Linked DNA regions of Lepisosteus oculatus. The protein of the gene in region 2 purifies or fractionates together with the protein of the main gene of each other region. This does not show direct contact. Links are inferred from orthologs where the notes say so. Each region holds a gene or a part of one and is shown on either strand. Other genes may lie near its edges.

The links.
Region 1: the proteins of csnk1db (region 2) and bysl purify together in Homo sapiens (affinity purification with mass spectrometry; 3 studies listed by BioGRID and IntAct, with this or other methods). This does not show direct contact. The link is inferred for Lepisosteus oculatus from reciprocal best matches to the Homo sapiens genes CSNK1D and BYSL.
Region 3: the proteins of csnk1db (region 2) and intermembrane lipid transfer protein VPS13B purify together in Homo sapiens (affinity purification with mass spectrometry; 3 studies listed by BioGRID and IntAct, counting the BioPlex papers as one, with this or other methods). This does not show direct contact. The link is inferred for Lepisosteus oculatus from reciprocal best matches to the Homo sapiens genes CSNK1D and VPS13B.

Annotation. Positions count from the first base shown.
Region 1 is NC_090700.1:40,791,659-40,796,894, forward strand, and holds the start of bysl (bystin), read left to right. Parts: upstream 1-1,958; 5' UTR 1,959-2,110; coding exon 2,111-2,387; intron 2,388-3,024; coding exon 3,025-3,187; intron 3,188-3,695; coding exon 3,696-3,834; intron 3,835-3,944; coding exon 3,945-4,078; intron 4,079-4,602; coding exon 4,603-4,763; intron 4,764-4,853; coding exon 4,854-4,956; intron 4,957-5,236. Other genes in the region: med20 (mediator of RNA polymerase II transcription subunit 20), read right to left, coding at 1-140, 1,685-1,698. UniProt on the Homo sapiens protein: Required for processing of 20S pre-rRNA precursor and biogenesis of 40S ribosomal subunits. May be required for trophinin-dependent regulation of cell adhesion during implantation of human embryos.
Region 2 is NC_090704.1:39,445,545-39,450,780, forward strand, and holds the start of csnk1db (casein kinase I), read left to right. Parts: upstream 1-2,162; 5' UTR 2,163-2,568; coding exon 2,569-2,644; intron 2,645-5,236. UniProt on the Homo sapiens protein: Essential serine/threonine-protein kinase that regulates diverse cellular growth and survival processes including Wnt signaling, DNA repair and circadian rhythms. It can phosphorylate a large number of proteins.
Region 3 is NC_090705.1:8,401,881-8,407,116, forward strand, and holds the start of intermembrane lipid transfer protein VPS13B, read left to right. Parts: upstream 1-1,490; 5' UTR 1,491-1,605; intron 1,606-2,609; 5' UTR 2,610-2,631; coding exon 2,632-2,778; intron 2,779-5,236. UniProt on the Homo sapiens protein: Mediates the transfer of lipids between membranes at organelle contact sites. Binds phosphatidylinositol 3-phosphate. Functions as a tethering factor in the slow endocytic recycling pathway, to assist traffic between early and recycling endosomes.

The DNA.
Region 1 (5,236 bases), on a different chromosome or scaffold from region 2:
CCATGGCCCCCGCATGGTAGGTCTCACAGTCCACGCAGAAACTGCCCTGTTTCACTGCTCCCAGCTGCTCCAGCTTCCTGTGCAGCATCTCCACTGTCTGCTGGACACTCTTCCCCTCCACCACCGGCACCTGGCACACACTGCCAGAGCACAGGGTTACTGCTAACACTCCACACACACACACACACTGCCAGAGCACAGGGTTACTGCTAACACTCCACACACACACACACTGCCAGAGCACAGGGTTACTGCTAACACTCCGCGCACACACACACACTGCCAGAGCACAGGGTTACTGCTAACACTCCGCGCACACACACACACTGCCAGAGCACAGGGTTACTGCTAACACTCCGCGCACACACACACACTGCCAGAGCACAGGGTTACTGCTAACACTCCGCGCACACACACACACACTGCCAGAGCACAGGGTTACTGCTAACACTCCGCACACACACACACACTGCCAGAGCACAGGGTTACTGCTAACACTCCCCACACACACACTGCCAGAGCACAGGGTTACTGCTAACACTCCGCACACACACACTGCCAGAGCACAGGGTTACTGCTAACACTCCCCACACACACACTGCCAGAGCACAGGGTTACTGCTAACACTCCCCACACACACACTGCCAGAGCACAGGGTTACTGCTAACACTCCCCACACACACACACACTGCCAGAGCACAGGGTTACTGCTAACACTCCCCACACACACACACACTGCCTGAGCACAGGGTTACTGCTAACACTCCACACACACACACACTGCCAGAGCACAGGGTTACTGCTAACACTCCACACACACACACTGCCAGAGCACAGGGTTACAGCTAACACTCCACACACACACACTGATTTCAACTAATAACCTTCCTAACTGAACAAATTATGAGTTTAACTGGTATTTTTAACACACTGCCGGACTGTGTCAAGTCAAGACTGGAGTTGAGTTCTTATAAAGCAGATAGTTTAAAAACAAAAAAGCAAAGCATCATATATCAATTAGATCGTTTAAATTATATATTTTTTAAATGCATAAAAGTTTTAAATAAATTGTTCTAGGAACCGAGCAAAACTATAGTGCTATTTTAAGAGTTGGTTCAAAAGTGTCATCTTGTGACACAACTGTGCATAAAGCTTTTTAAACATACTGCTAAATTGGAAAATGCAATCGGTTCTGGAATAACCTGCATTAGCCAGGCTGCAGTTACATAATTCAAAACAGCTCCTTTCTCCAAACCACCTTCTTCTCCTCCTGCAGCATCATCATACTGTAATTGTAACGATATACCGCCGGACCAGAGACTCCGCTAATATAGCACACCCTGTCCCTGCACGTAAACAAAGCACGCTGCCTCCTTTCAAACTGCAGACCATTTCGTTTCAAATGGCTTCTAAAGTCCGCAAACTCACAACTGTTGCTGTCGGCGCAGCCCCACCAGGGCCGCGGTTAACCAGTTTAAAAACGTCTGTTATCGTATTATTTAATATTTATGGTGAGGCTCTGGACCCGAGGAACCCAGCTGTGACTATGTTGTTGTACACGTAGGTATGAAACTCGCATTGCTCCAACACCATGTCCAGCCGTGTAAAACAATACGCTCCGGATCGCCATTGTCAATGAAATGACGTTTCTGCTGCAATAAAAGATTCAAATAACTAATCTTACCACGTTACACCCATGTTCGCCTCTGACAGAACAAGACTCCTCTAACTTCACGTTACTTCAGACACGAGCTTCCTGTTATCAGGAAGAGGAAGTGACGCCACGATCGGAGGTTGACAATAACAAATTAGTACAGCTAATTTATATTCATATTATTCTTATCGTGAAATTAAATGATCATTTTCAAGACTTCCTATAAAGACGTTTTTAAAAGTTGTCTTCAATTTTATTTTTTGTGCTTCGAGTGTCGCCATGATTGTGCGGGGTGGAGGGGCGGTGACATCATTTCCGGTGAGTGGCAAAGGGTCACGCGTGCTTGCTGAGTGGTCTTTCTCCACATGTGCGGGCAGAGTTTTAAGTCTGTTTTACAGGTTTCGGCACACAAGACAAACAGAACTCTGACAGCAGAGCGAATCGGCGCCTACGGAGATGCCGAAAGTGAAGAAGACGAAAGGCGGAGGGAGAGCGGAGCACAGCCGAGTCGCGATGGTTCCTCTGGCCGAGCAGATCCTGCAGAGCGATGAGGTGAAGAGCAGCGGCCGGGTGAAGAGCCGTGGCCGCCGGCAGGAGGCTGAGGACGAGTACGTGGACGAGCGGCTGTCCCGGAAGATCCTGGAGCAGGCTCGGATACAGCAGGAGGAGCTGGAGGCGGAGTGCGGGCTCGGGAAGACTGCGGAGAGTAAAAAGCAGCCCACGACCGTGCTGGGTGAGTGTTTAGCGAGGGTGACAGAACGCGTGCCGCTTGTCACGGGCTGGTCCTGCGTCCGGCACGGGTGCGACCTATCTCGGCTGTGCGTGCCGCGTTGTTTGTAAGGAGAGTGACATGAGTGAGGCGTCCTGTTCGTGAACTGTTCGTACAAAAGAGGTGGAAATCAGATACCGCTTCTCTCTGCTGTGCTTCAGCTGCTTGGTCACACACGGCCTCCGGCGCGACCCCTAGCGAGAGGCCACAATCCCATCACCCACCTGGCCAGGTTTTCATGAAGCCAGCCGTAATGCTGGCACTTTGAGAGCAAGTAGCAAACATTGAATCCTCCTTTGGTGTCTAGTGTCCTGAGAGTTATGGGCAGGGGGGTTGTCACCGTCTCAAACTGTATCGCTGTAGAGTGTTGCGATTTGATTCAGAACCAACAGTGAAAACTACTGGGAAGAGTTCTTAAAAACTGAGACCAGGAGGTACTTCTATACACAGAGGGTGGTGGAGGTCTGAAACAAGTGGCCCAGCCATGTTGTTGGAGTTCATTCCCTGGGCCATTTCTGGAAAGATCTGGGTGAAATGATGGGATCAGCTAGCTCCCAACAGCCCTGATGGGGTTTTCTGACCTGTTCCTGTTGCCCTGCAGGCTCTGGCTCCAGGGACTCGGACTCGGAGGAGGAGGAATGGCCGGCGCTGGGGCAGGGGGGAGATGGAGAGGACGGGGAGGGGGCGGCAGGGGCAGAGGTGGAGGTGGACCCGGAGGATGAGAAGGCCATCCAGATGTTCATGAGCAAGAACCCGCCGCTCAGGTACTGACCCGGACCGACCTACCTCACAGAGCCGGGCTCTGGCAATGCAACAGCAAACCTGCTAGAATTCCAGCAGCGCAGCCCAGAGTTTACTCAGTGTTTCTCAACCACAATCCACAAATCGTGTGCAGTGCTCTCTTCCACACGTACGGAACTTTGCTGGAAAAGCTGCCTTGAATATCTGTTTACGTCTAGAAATCCTTGAGATGGGACCATCTTTTCTCTGGCAATGAAAAGACCCCACATCAGTTCCAGCAGCAGAGTCCCTGTGTGTCCAGTAATAGTCAATGTTCAGGAGCGGTCCAGGAGTCCAGACTGTTGAGGCACTCGGGAGTTCTGGGGTCTGTCTGCCAGGGTTTGATGTGGCCAACAGCAGACAAGTGACTGTCTCCTTAAGCCCTGCGTTGTTCCAGCCTGGAATGTCCTGCCCCCGTGTGCGGAGTGCGTGGTTGCTATCCTCCGGCCTCAGTGTGTCAGGCTGCGTTCACGACTGTGCCTCTTCCCCCAGGAGGACTCTGGCGGACATCATCATGGAGAAGATCACAGAGAAGCAGACGGAGGTGGAGACGGTGATGTCGGAGGTGTCGGGGCACCCCATGCCCCAGCTGGACCCCCGAGTCATTGAGGTGTACAAGGGGGTGAAGGAGGTGAGCGTCCTGTGCTGGGCCACGGTGTGGGCGGGGACACCCTCTCTCTCAGTCTGTGTGCTGCCATTCCCTGTCTCTCCCTCACTGTCCTTTCTGACGCACTCTCCCAGGTTCTGTCCAAGTACCGCAGCGGAAAGCTGCCCAAGGCCTTCAAGATCGTGCCTGCTCTGTCCAACTGGGAGCAGGTGCTGTACATCACAGAGCCGGAGACCTGGACGGCGGCAGCGATGTACCAGGCCACACGGTGAGATCAACACTCCCCTCACAGCTCCCGAAACACTTGGCCGGCAGACCGCACTGCTGTTCTTTTGGTTTGTAGCGCTGACACTGTGCAAACGGACAGAGGAGAGGCTTTCCTGTCGTCTCTGTAAAGTGGTTCTCTTTTTTAACCAAGAAAACATTCTCTCATAAACCACTTCAGCCCCAAACTCTTTCCGTGTTCGTAGGGCTATGCGTCCAAGAACATGAGAGCACCCATTGCGCAGGATTCTGATCCACTTATAGTTTTACAAACTGCAGGCTTTTATTCAACTGGTAGCGGCTTTTGAATTTGTGATGGGAATTCATATGTGCCTCAATATGCACAGAAGAGCGTGTAAAGCTAATTGCTACTGTTATGCTTAATCGGTACAATGTATACAGTACAACCTGGTTAAACTCAACCAGGTCAAGCGACAGCTGTCGGATGTGTCCTGTGTGAATTATTGTCCGTGTGCAGGTGTCCCTTTTCTACGCCTCATTTTTCTTTCTCCCTGTTGCCACCTGCAGGATCTTCTCCTCCAATCTGAAGGAGAGGATGGCTCAACGCTTCTATAACCTTGTCCTGCTGCCGCGGATTCGAGATGACATCGCGGAGTATAAACGGCTCAACTTCCACCTGTACAGCGCGCTGAAGAAGGCGCTTTTCAAGCCTGGGGCCTGGTTCAAGGGTGAGAGTCTAAGGCTTTATAATGGCCGTCCCTGGCAGTGCAGGAGATGAGCCACATCGCTAACGTCTCTCCCCCCTCTTTCTCGCTCAGGAATCCTGATCCCCCTGTGCGAGTCGGGGACCTGCACGCTGAGAGAGGCCATCATCATCGGCAGCATCATCACCAAGTGCTCCATCCCTGTCCTGCACTCCAGGTACACAAGCAGGAGGGAGGGCCGGCAATATTATTTCGTTATTTGGCAGGCACTTTTATCTAGCGCAACCTCCAGAAGTTACTATTGCAGCACCTTTTTTTTTCCCCCATGTACACATGTTGGTGTCCATTTCTGGAGGTGTGTTGTTTTACTCTGGGGTAAACAGCAGAGGCCCCACCTGGGATTCAAACCCACAGCCCTTTGGGCAGGGGCTCAGAGGTCCCCTTCATGCTGCAGAGGTTCGGGCAAGTTCAGCACACTGAATGGTCCCTGTCTTTCC
Region 2 (5,236 bases):
AGGGTGGTAAAAATGTAAAAACACTGCAAAAGAGCAGGCCAAAGACATCCTTAATCTGTTATAATATTCTTGGCGGTCTGGAAAATGCATAGATAAAATATTTCTACTTGACTTATGGAGATTATTTTTATAAAATCAAAAATACAAGTTGAGGAAAACTTATATGAAATTTTGGACATATCCTAAAATCTGTGGATTCTAAAAAATATCATTTCTTGTCTTGCCTTCAGAAAAAATGGTTGCCCCATATACTGTATATGCTCTTTATATTTTGATGTAAGCACACCTATTTACATTTTTAAAAAATCTAAATAAATCAAGAGATTTTAAAATGTGATGGGATATAGTATGTTCAGACTTTCATTATTATAATCAGATACTATTTAAGATTGCTTTAGAACCCAGTATCTGAAGCAAGATTAAACACTAATTTATTAAATGTAATCTTCCTTGGTACGTTATACTTGTCAAAGACATTTCTTCTAGGATTTTTTGTATTCTTGTTTATGTTAGCAAAATGTAGCTAAATTCTGTGTACTTGTGTAATAAATACATTTTAAATAAATGGTACCAATCCATAACTCAGAAGATTTATGGATTAGCAAGGTTTATAGAGGATGGTCTTAGCGGAAATAAATATCTTGCTCTCAAGGATATCTTCAGTAAACCTAGAAATTATATTTTTATAAAATAAGAACAGTTCAACAAGCAATAACACTTCTAAAAAAGAACAAGCCTTTTTAGAAGGCCTAAAGGAGGAAAGAAAGGAAAGGTCAGCAATAAACTGCTACAGTACTCAGTGGGCCCTTAGTCAAAGGCAGATGAGTTTTTTGAGTGATTTCTGAAAACAGTTGTATGAAAAATGTGATAAACATAGAACAGATCCATTTACTCATAGACTATAAAAATAAGACTTGCTGTTTCACAGAAACTGAAGTTTGTTACTAAAGCATATTGTACTGTCAAAAAAGGTTAAGATCAAATATTTCAGAACCTTCCTTTTTGATGCAGTATAATTTTGTTTGACTGCAATTATAGTAATGTAAGGACGCCTTTTGGAGAAAAATGTTGACTGTCTTTAGTTGATACCAATACATTTATGTTTTATGATGTCCAACTAAAATAATTACATTCCAGCCCTATAAGAAAATACAAACAATTTGAAAAAAAAAGGTTGCATTTATCACTTCCTGTTGTTTCAGGCAAAGGACAGATGAGTTGAATTTTTTTACGCTTTTTGAAGTGTAAACAGGAAGACTGAAGAGAAGACATGTTACCACAGAAACAAGTTTGGCAACCAGTTGGAACAATACTGGAAGCTGTGTAAACAACAAGGATAGGTGCACGGTGCTCATGGAACAGAGCAACTTTGAGAACAAGATGGAAGAAAAGCAGTGAATTAAAAATGCACGATTTTTGGCCCTGTTAGAAACATAAATACAAATGTTTGTATCATCTTTCTTTAATAATTGTTCTAGCTTCAGACACAGAGCCTATGGTTTCAAAAACATGAGGTGATAACTGTTTTGTTGTTTCAGGAAGAAGCAACATACTGTACAATATTACAAGAATTTACATATAAAACAATTGTTCTGTGTGTTTATCTTTGTCTTTTACGGGGCACATTGCTCTTCTGTCTATTTACAACACATTTAATCATAGTCACTCAACTGGAATTCTTGCTTATAGAACTAAGGCTCTAAAGGAAAAGTATAGCTATGTAACAGGAAGGATATATGTTCTATGTGTCTATTTAGCAATGGTTTCAGACATATTCAGTATTTATTTTATATTTACTGATGTTTTTTAAATTAAATTATTGTCACAATGAAAGGATTAAAACCATTTCGCATGCTTCATATACAACTGAAAATACAAATGTATATTTGTAGTCATGAGGAATTAACTTTTTCCCACTGAATAGCCCAATGTCTTTTGAGAACATCTTGTCCTGTCCATGTTATCTACTAATAACCTATGAAGCTTATTATTGTAGAGATTGCTTTTGGAAAAAAAAACAGCCGCATATTATTTTACGCTATTTTGAAAGCTGGACAAAAGAAACTAAGAAGGTTGAATCAATCCATCGTTATACTTGTTTTTGTTTCAGACCCTACCCAATCCCCTCCCCCTCTCCACTGTTGCTAGGGGAAGTGATGTCACAGGACTATGGCAGACTGTTTCACACAGAAGGAGGGGGTTAGCAGAGGTAGTCAGTATTTTAAGCTAGAGAAGATAGCCATTAAAATCCGTCTCCATCCTCTCCACCGTTAAGAGGGATGCCATCCGAAACAACAAGAACATAATCTACACATTTCAAGCTTTCAGATAAGCCCCATATTGGTGTATTTGGAAAATCGGGGAGGTAGAAAAGGAATGGTGAAAATTGGATTGTGACAGAAGGAACAATATTATTAAAAATTGGAAGGAAGGGGGAGAGTGGTGAAAAGGGCAGATATAGAGGAAATATTGAAGGTTTCGGATATTATTAGGGGCTTAAATCGAACCTTCCGGGGGTTTGATTAAGAAAATTACTCCTGTTTACATTTTTATATAAGAATTAAAGCCATGGAACTGAGAGTTGGAAACAGATACAGACTGGGTAGGAAAATTGGAAGTGGATCTTTTGGAGACATTTATCTGGGTAAGTGGACTAAATTGATTCTGTAGATTGAAATTTAACTACAGTTATTTTTTGGACAGGACGAAGGTAAGTTGGGCTCATTTGTGTAAGAACACGGGTGCTTGTGTTATGACATTTATGAAAACGGTCTGCAATTTGAGTGAATTGTAGTAGTAGAAGGTAACATTCCCCTTAAACTGTGACGAGCACTTCTTGTTACTGTGCCGTATTTGCATTATCTGCTTCGTAGTATAAATGTGTCCAAGTAACTTAGCTGTATCCTGTTCCTTTTCACAGAATCTAGGATACCTTGTACTAAATAAGGTGAAGCGATGTGTAACTAATCGAGCTCTTTGTATCTCAACCCCCTTGTTACTAGACGGGAGTGCTCCTATTTAAAAATAAACCCGAAACAAATTCATTCCAACAACTTCTCTGACAAGGGCTTCGGTTAGTGAATCGTGCCTGCCGCTCATTTATATTACCTTTTAGTGTTGGAAACGGCGCCGTACACAATGCTATCTCGGGTTTTTGTACCTAATTGGAAGATCCCTTTGTTATGTTAAACAGAAATTGACACTTGGCTTCTTGGCATTTTGAACCTTCGGGTTTCCACAGCCATCGCAAGCCGGAACAAAACAAACGTATTTTTGCTCGTTTTTTTTGTACGCAAATCCCCCCAATTCAAACGCTGTTTTGTGATCTGCATACTTTTCTTTACCAGTGGTTAGTTACTGCTTAACCATAGATGTTAACTGTTACATTGTGTAGCTAGAGCACATACACCGTGCGGCGTTCTGGGTTCACAAAGGAGTTCCGAACCGAGGATGGTCCTTTTTTTATCCGAATTTCGGTATTTTGATCAATTTCCCAGTCGAACCTGAAGTGAGAAACATCAAACAGGAGGACCTTTCTCTTGAGGGTGCATTGTTCTTCAGGCGACATTCGCTTCCGAGCGGTTAAAACGTAACACGAAGAGGCTTGTGTAGCAGTAAATCCTGTTCACCACCACACGTAACGTAGTGGAAGAGGTGGGGGTGTAAAAAAATAGATGTTGATGTGTAAATCAAAACGAAACAGAGTATGCGTTATATAACGTGTGCAGTTGTAAGATCTGGGAGGCTGGTATGCTTTATTTAGCGGAAAAAAAACGTGTAGAGCAAATTGCAGGTTCTGTTTTCCCCCAGATTCTCGTTTGGAAGAGGAGTCACGACGGGTGGGTTTGTTTGTGTCCAACAATGGTCCTTTGCAGCGCCTGTATGCTTTTTAGGCACTCAGTGCATATTAAGCGTGGTCTGGATGTGAATCTCGTGGGTTACCAGTTCTGGCTGTCTGGTGTAAAGTTGGAAAGGTGAGGATAAGTTTCCCCCAGTATTATAACACAACACCAGAAACAGCCAGAAGGCCTGTGGGCAAGACGAACGGTATAAGGGATGTGTAAGACGATCCCTGTTGATTGGGGGTGACCTTTCCCATATGGATGTCATCTGTTACTATTGAGGTAGGCATTTTCCTTTAGTGTCACAGACTGGTTTGGCTTCTCAAGATGCATTCGATACAGGGATATAAATATGGACTGGTAAGTCCTCACTGGTTGTCTGATACGAGAAAATGTAGATTCCCATAGAACATCATTAGAAGTCCATTGTTATGACAGTAGCTATAAGGTGTTTTAAAATGGTGTTACTGAGATGAGCTGTTTTGTATGAATTGTACTTTCTCCTTAAATCAGCTTTGTATTTTATATATCTCCTTTTGGGTGTACACACAAGGCCACCTCTGTAAAGGCTCTCTGTCTTTCATTGTCTCGCAACAGTTTTTATGTTGGTACATTGTGATGGACGTTTTGTGCAGCTGCTAACATGGAGACCATGTTAAGGAATTAATTAATACGGATTTAATCATGGCTTTGGAATGAAACCTAAAACCTATTACATCAGTTGTAGTCAACAGATGCTCAAACACTTAGTCTGCCTTGGTTATGCTGGTGTTTAGCGCAGTATCACTAACTTCATACTGCTGATTTAGTGTAAGTTGGCTTTTTTGCAAACCAACTTATAGCAAATCAAAATGAGTTTCTGTCATTGACTGAAGTTTAATAACATGAAGTGTTTATTCTTAGTCCTATCCATTTGATCTTCAGAATGTCCTTGTTTTGGCATCAGACCTGGAGGCTCTGTAATGTTTTCAACTCCCAAGTTTTTTTTGTTTATTTGGTAAAGTTACAGCTAGTCTGAGCTGGAAGTTAAGGACCTTCTATTGGGTTACTTGAATCCCCATCAGGGTCAGCAGACTATCCACTTCTCCAGCGGTCCCTTCTCGCCTCTATAATGTTTAATCTCACTGCCTTTTCTTGTATGGTTGGCTCTGATTGGAGAAACTGCAAAAACCTTTATTTGATGTCAAAACTGGAAGGGCCTGTTTCTCCGGATCTGGAGAAGCAATTTTTTTAGACCTATTAAACTACATGCTTTACTGCCATCAGCTGATTTATACTTGTCAGTTTTCCTATATTAATACAAAATGGTGGCTGCATGGTTCAAACATAAATTGGTATTCAAGTTAGTATTGCTGGTGTCCTAGTCCTTAAAATATGGACTGTGGCATGGGAAG
Region 3 (5,236 bases), on a different chromosome or scaffold from region 2:
GGGCAAAAACACAATTATAAATACACTTACAAACACACACTGGATGTAAGTAAACTGACAATAGCTTTTGGATAGTTCTTTCAAAATATGGATAAAGTTAATGCTTTATGATGTATGCCTTATTCACTTATGCAAGAAACCAGTGACCTCTGTCAACAGTAGAAGTTAAGGCAATATAGATGATATAGCAATACTAACAAAGAGTGCAGTGCAATGGTATCCTTTCAAATGAAATAATTAAGGATAAACCTATAAACCATCAGTGGGGACATACTAGCAAAGATTCAGGTAATAGTAGCAGTGGATAGTGACGTAATATTCAAAAGGGTGGTTTACATCACACTTTTAAATCAATACCTTACCCTGACCACAAGTGTCTTAACTATCTCTTTATTTGTCATTGTTCACTGTCTGCTCAGGTACATTCCTTTACTGGGTCATTTCATGGCACAATATTTCATTTTAAATGTAAAAAGCCTGTGAAGATAGTTAAGTAATTTTAATAGTAATCTGTTTTGGGATTTTAACTCCTGTCTTACTCTGAGTAGGCATGTTCCTAATAATTCCTTCGTGCACCTTTTTATTTACACGAATTGTGGCCTTTTGTGGCTAATGTTTTATGATGGTTTACTGTTAAAAAAAGCTTTTCTTTTGTGGGGTCAGAAAATGAAGAATTTACCCCTGCAAGAGAGGGGTAAAAATGATTATGGGAGATTTTCTGAAGTGAATTAAATGTTTTTTATATATTTGATTTATGTTCCAATAACACAGAATGTGTTCACTGAAAATCTGTACTGAACTTTTCAGCCATTGCGTGCAGATTTGGAAAACACGGCTTCATAAATATCAATAAGCATTGAGTAGTTAGGTACATAATTGTCTTAAAATGATCAGTACAGTACAGTAGACGTTAGCGATAAACAGCATAAATACCACGTAACGTAACTTTGCAATTATCAATTTTCCTTTGCAAACAACATGTATTCAGTTCTCTGACAGGCTTTGATTGCGCAACTTTAATGTATTTGTATACATACGCCGGCTAACGTTCGTCTAACAGGAGAGCTTTTCTTTTTTTTTTTAGCCTGCCTCATCCTGTAACATTTTTTTTTAATTTTTAATTTTTAGAGAACAAAACAAAACCATTTTACAAATAAACATCCATTATTCAGCCTTACATTGCAGGCACAAATTAACAGGAGAGCTTTTCACAGCTGCTAATTCAAAAAAAAGTGAAACAATCAAGTTTCAACAATGCACGTTTTTTTTTACATTGTTAATTTAGTTAAGATTAACGTCCACTTATTGGACAAACCGTAAACCCCCACTGGAGTGCTTGGTGGACCTGACTCCAAAGCCAACCAAACACATTCTACCGAACTCCTTGCTTCGCAGCTCTTAATACCATAGATACTCCAGCACGCCAGCAGGGTTGCCCTTTAAAGGAAATGACCTCACTTGTGAATGCCGGAAGTGCTGTTGTGCGGAAGAGTAACATGGTGACGTTGTTACAGAGCCGTGCAAGTGGTTCGCTGTTGATGTTGTGCTCTTGTCGGAATGAATAGTAGTATAGTTGCGGAAACTTTAAGGACTTGACTCAGTAAAGTAAGAGTTAATGTATTATTTTAAGTGTAGCCTTTACTCGGAAGCCCTTTGTTTAAATGTATATGCGGTGTTAGAATGTGTTTCTTGTCATTGTGATGTGAAGTTTGTTTATTAATTGCACAGTGTCGCGCAATAAGCATTTCGGCAGAATGCAAAGAGCTAAGGTTAACAGCTTGAGTCCTCTTGTGCATGTTTCTCGCTGGAATCGGTATACCATTTCGTTACTACAGTTTTCAGATTCTCTGATATTCTTGGATAATATCCTCCAAATAAAACTCCTGTCAACATTTGGGTTTCTATGCAGTTAAATTGTTTTACCAAAGTATAAGATTTACTTCAGGAACAGGCTGTATTTGTATTTGTGTATTTGCTTCTCTCCACTTTCTATTAATATTAGATAAATGAATTAAAGGAGTTGGCTGTACTTTTGCTTCAGACAGAAATTCCGGCTTTCATACTAAGACCAAGTTACACGCACGACGTCTGTCGATTTTATGTTTGTCCAAATTCCGCCACTGTTCCCGTGTTCCTTACAGTTGCGCAGATCAGCAGCTGTGGGGGGGAAATTGCTCTGCTTTGGGTTGCACCTTTATTTGTCATTGGAATTAAACAGTCAATTCGTAATGTGCATTCAGCTTTAAGCCTAAGGATCTCTGAAAAGGAGAGTTGTTTACTCTCATACCATAGGGTTATTCATTTGTAATCTTTGTCTTAGGGCAGGTGTTGTTAGGACAAACGCTTAAGGCTATCCATGCTTTAATTTGCAGTCATGATACCACAGCAGAATCGGAGAGCCCAGCACTGCGCTGGGTGTATTTTTGTTTCTAAAAAGTTGACAGTTGACTGCATGCCATTGCGAGTAATGGACATTAAACAATGAACGTCTGTGCGGATGAAACTGAATTATTTGTCTGCAGTGTTGCTTGTTGTTGTCCTGTGTCTAAAACGTTTCGCCCATTTGCCGTCAGAAACGGTTTCACCCAGGTCTTTCTTTCCACCCGCAGTGTTAAAGGCATTCCATCCACCATGTTGGAGTCTTACGTTACTCCGCTGCTGATGAGCTATGTCAACCGCTACATTAAGAACCTGAAGCCATCGGATCTGCAGCTGTCGCTCTGGGGCGGCGATGTTGTCCTCAGCAAGCTGGAGCTGAAACTGGATGTCCTCGAGCAGGTAAGATGTAGCCCCAGAGACCCTGCCTGGTGTGTGGGTTTGCATTGTATACGAGGGCAGGAAAAAAACGAAAATAAATTAAGCTGCCATTGTGAGACAACGGGGTCATGCTCTTGAGTGACACAACGTAGACCTAACTTTTCGAAAATCCTCAAAGGCACTGACGAAACGGACTTCTTCAGAGTGAACGGTGGCACGGGAACCAGAGAACGACAGAGGAAACTAAGTGTATGAGCATTTCAAACTGAGCACAGGAAGCACCCAGAATTGTACCCAGAAGACAGTGGGAGTGCGGGAGTGTAGAACAAGCAATCCAGTCAAGTGGTTGAAGTCAGTATCCAGGTTTTGTTTCAAGAAATGGCTGAATAAGATCCTTGGATCATTAAGCTACTAAGCTACAAAATAGTTTCATGCTTGGTGTGCCGAAAGGCCTCCTGTCACTTGTAACTTGGTTCACATCTCAGCTCTGTATGTCTACAGATGTGGAGTGCCTCAGTCAGTGTTTAATTGACCCAGTGAACCCAAGGTGCAAGAGGCTAGACTCGTTCAGAGCGTACTCATTTTGCCTTTGACCGCTACCACTGCTTATAAGGTGCTGTCAGTTGTTAGATTCTGTAGTGATTATGCTGAAAATAGGAATACAGTTGTGTGCAATTATTGAAGTTCTTTAGCCTTCTTGTTTCTTTTTTTAAAATGTGCTGGTGGCTTTGTCACAGGTTTACCATACATGTTTGAAAATAGGCGTTATTTTGCCCCATTAAGTGGTCTGTGTTGAAAGCCTTCTCTTGTGAAGAAAGTCCTGCTACTATATGCTGGCTTGGATCATCCCCAGCTGAAACATAAGTATTAAGAGGGGTAGGGGCTCAGTCAATGCAGGAGCTTGTCCTATATATCGCTAGTTCAAATCGGGGTCTTGATGCTAACTGGGATTCCTAAGGTGACAGTGTGCCTTTGTTGAAGGGGTGCTATTAGTTGGTTAGGGCCATCTGACTGCCAGGCATTGACTCTCGCGAAGTCCCAGCTGCCTGCAGTGCTATCGGTTAAATCCAGTCTTTGCTAGCTCCCCTGCTAGGCATTATGAAGCTTCCTGCGTGTCAGTGGCTCTGCATGTCTGCTCATCTCATTCAGTTGCTGCTGGAAGCTGAGTCTTAAACCAATTGGTGGCTGAAGTAATGGGTCTATAGTAATACTGTATATAAGATATGTCCCCATACAATAATATATTGGGCCTTTTTGAATAGCCATTACAGCCTGACCAGTGAAACAACAGTGGACTGCTGTCCTTCTGCCTTTGTTTTATTTTAGGGAGAGTCTAAGCCCTGTATTTAAACTTGATGAATATGGTGTCACAATGCACCTTTAATGAAGTGGGTATGTGTACACATTCAATATAAATGAATATATTAAAGAACTTTGCTTCAGTCTAACCTAAGATGGCTTTCTCTCGTGTAAGTGGGACACGGTGTGTTACGCTATACATTGAAGCCATTGACCAGAGAGCAGAATCTTAGTGGATATGTGTGGTTTTGTTTCTTCAAAGTTTGGGCAGTAGTGCAGTATTAAATAGGAAAGGTCCATTATACAGCAGGATATCAAAGGGATATCATAAGTTATTTTGATTAGCGGTAGTGAATGCTGTGGGAATGTTTTCTGGGAAGTGTAATCTTAAACTCCTGGCAGATTTCTCTCTTTTGCAGTCAGTTTGTCTGAATTTGGATACAATATATAATCTGTAAAGAAATAATTAGAAATAGTCTTTTAAGTGAAATAGTGTGGGTTTAAAAGCAGACATGCAATAAATCCATGACAGCTCTTCCTTCAAAAATACATTTAATTATTAGCTTTTGGCGGGGAAAAGAAAAAAAAAACAAAGATCCTGAGCTAAGTATGCAGTGTGGTTTCATAAGATGTTTTTTCATGGCGTTAGTGCATTACAGCTTTAAAGCTGTTATTAATGCTTTACACTTACACTTGTCCCACATGAATTACTCTTTATAATTTTCTTCTCAAAAACACATGATAAATTTTACTTTAGTGTCTGTTGTGAAGTTACCCCAAGTTTTATAGTCTTTTTTTATAAAAGACAGAAAAATGAAAAATGAATGGGGCACATTTGTTTTTAACATTATGATGCATTTCACGGTATGGCGGGGCTCTGTTTGAGGTGAGAATGCATTTGGTTTTGAAAGACTGGAGGAATTAAAAGCCACAGTCTGCTTGGACCACCATGGAGGCACTTTTGTATGAGGACATCCTACATCCTCAAATGAAAAACAAAAGCTACTTCTGGTCCAAGAGCTGTTATTATGTAATAAAATACTGAGAACATTGGTTAAGAGACCCCACACAATAAAAGTTGGCAAATTCCCCAGAGATCCAGTGATCAACTTGTAAAAAAAAAAAACAACACAATTCCATCTGCAATAACACCGTTACCTTATTGCATAAAGTATGTAAA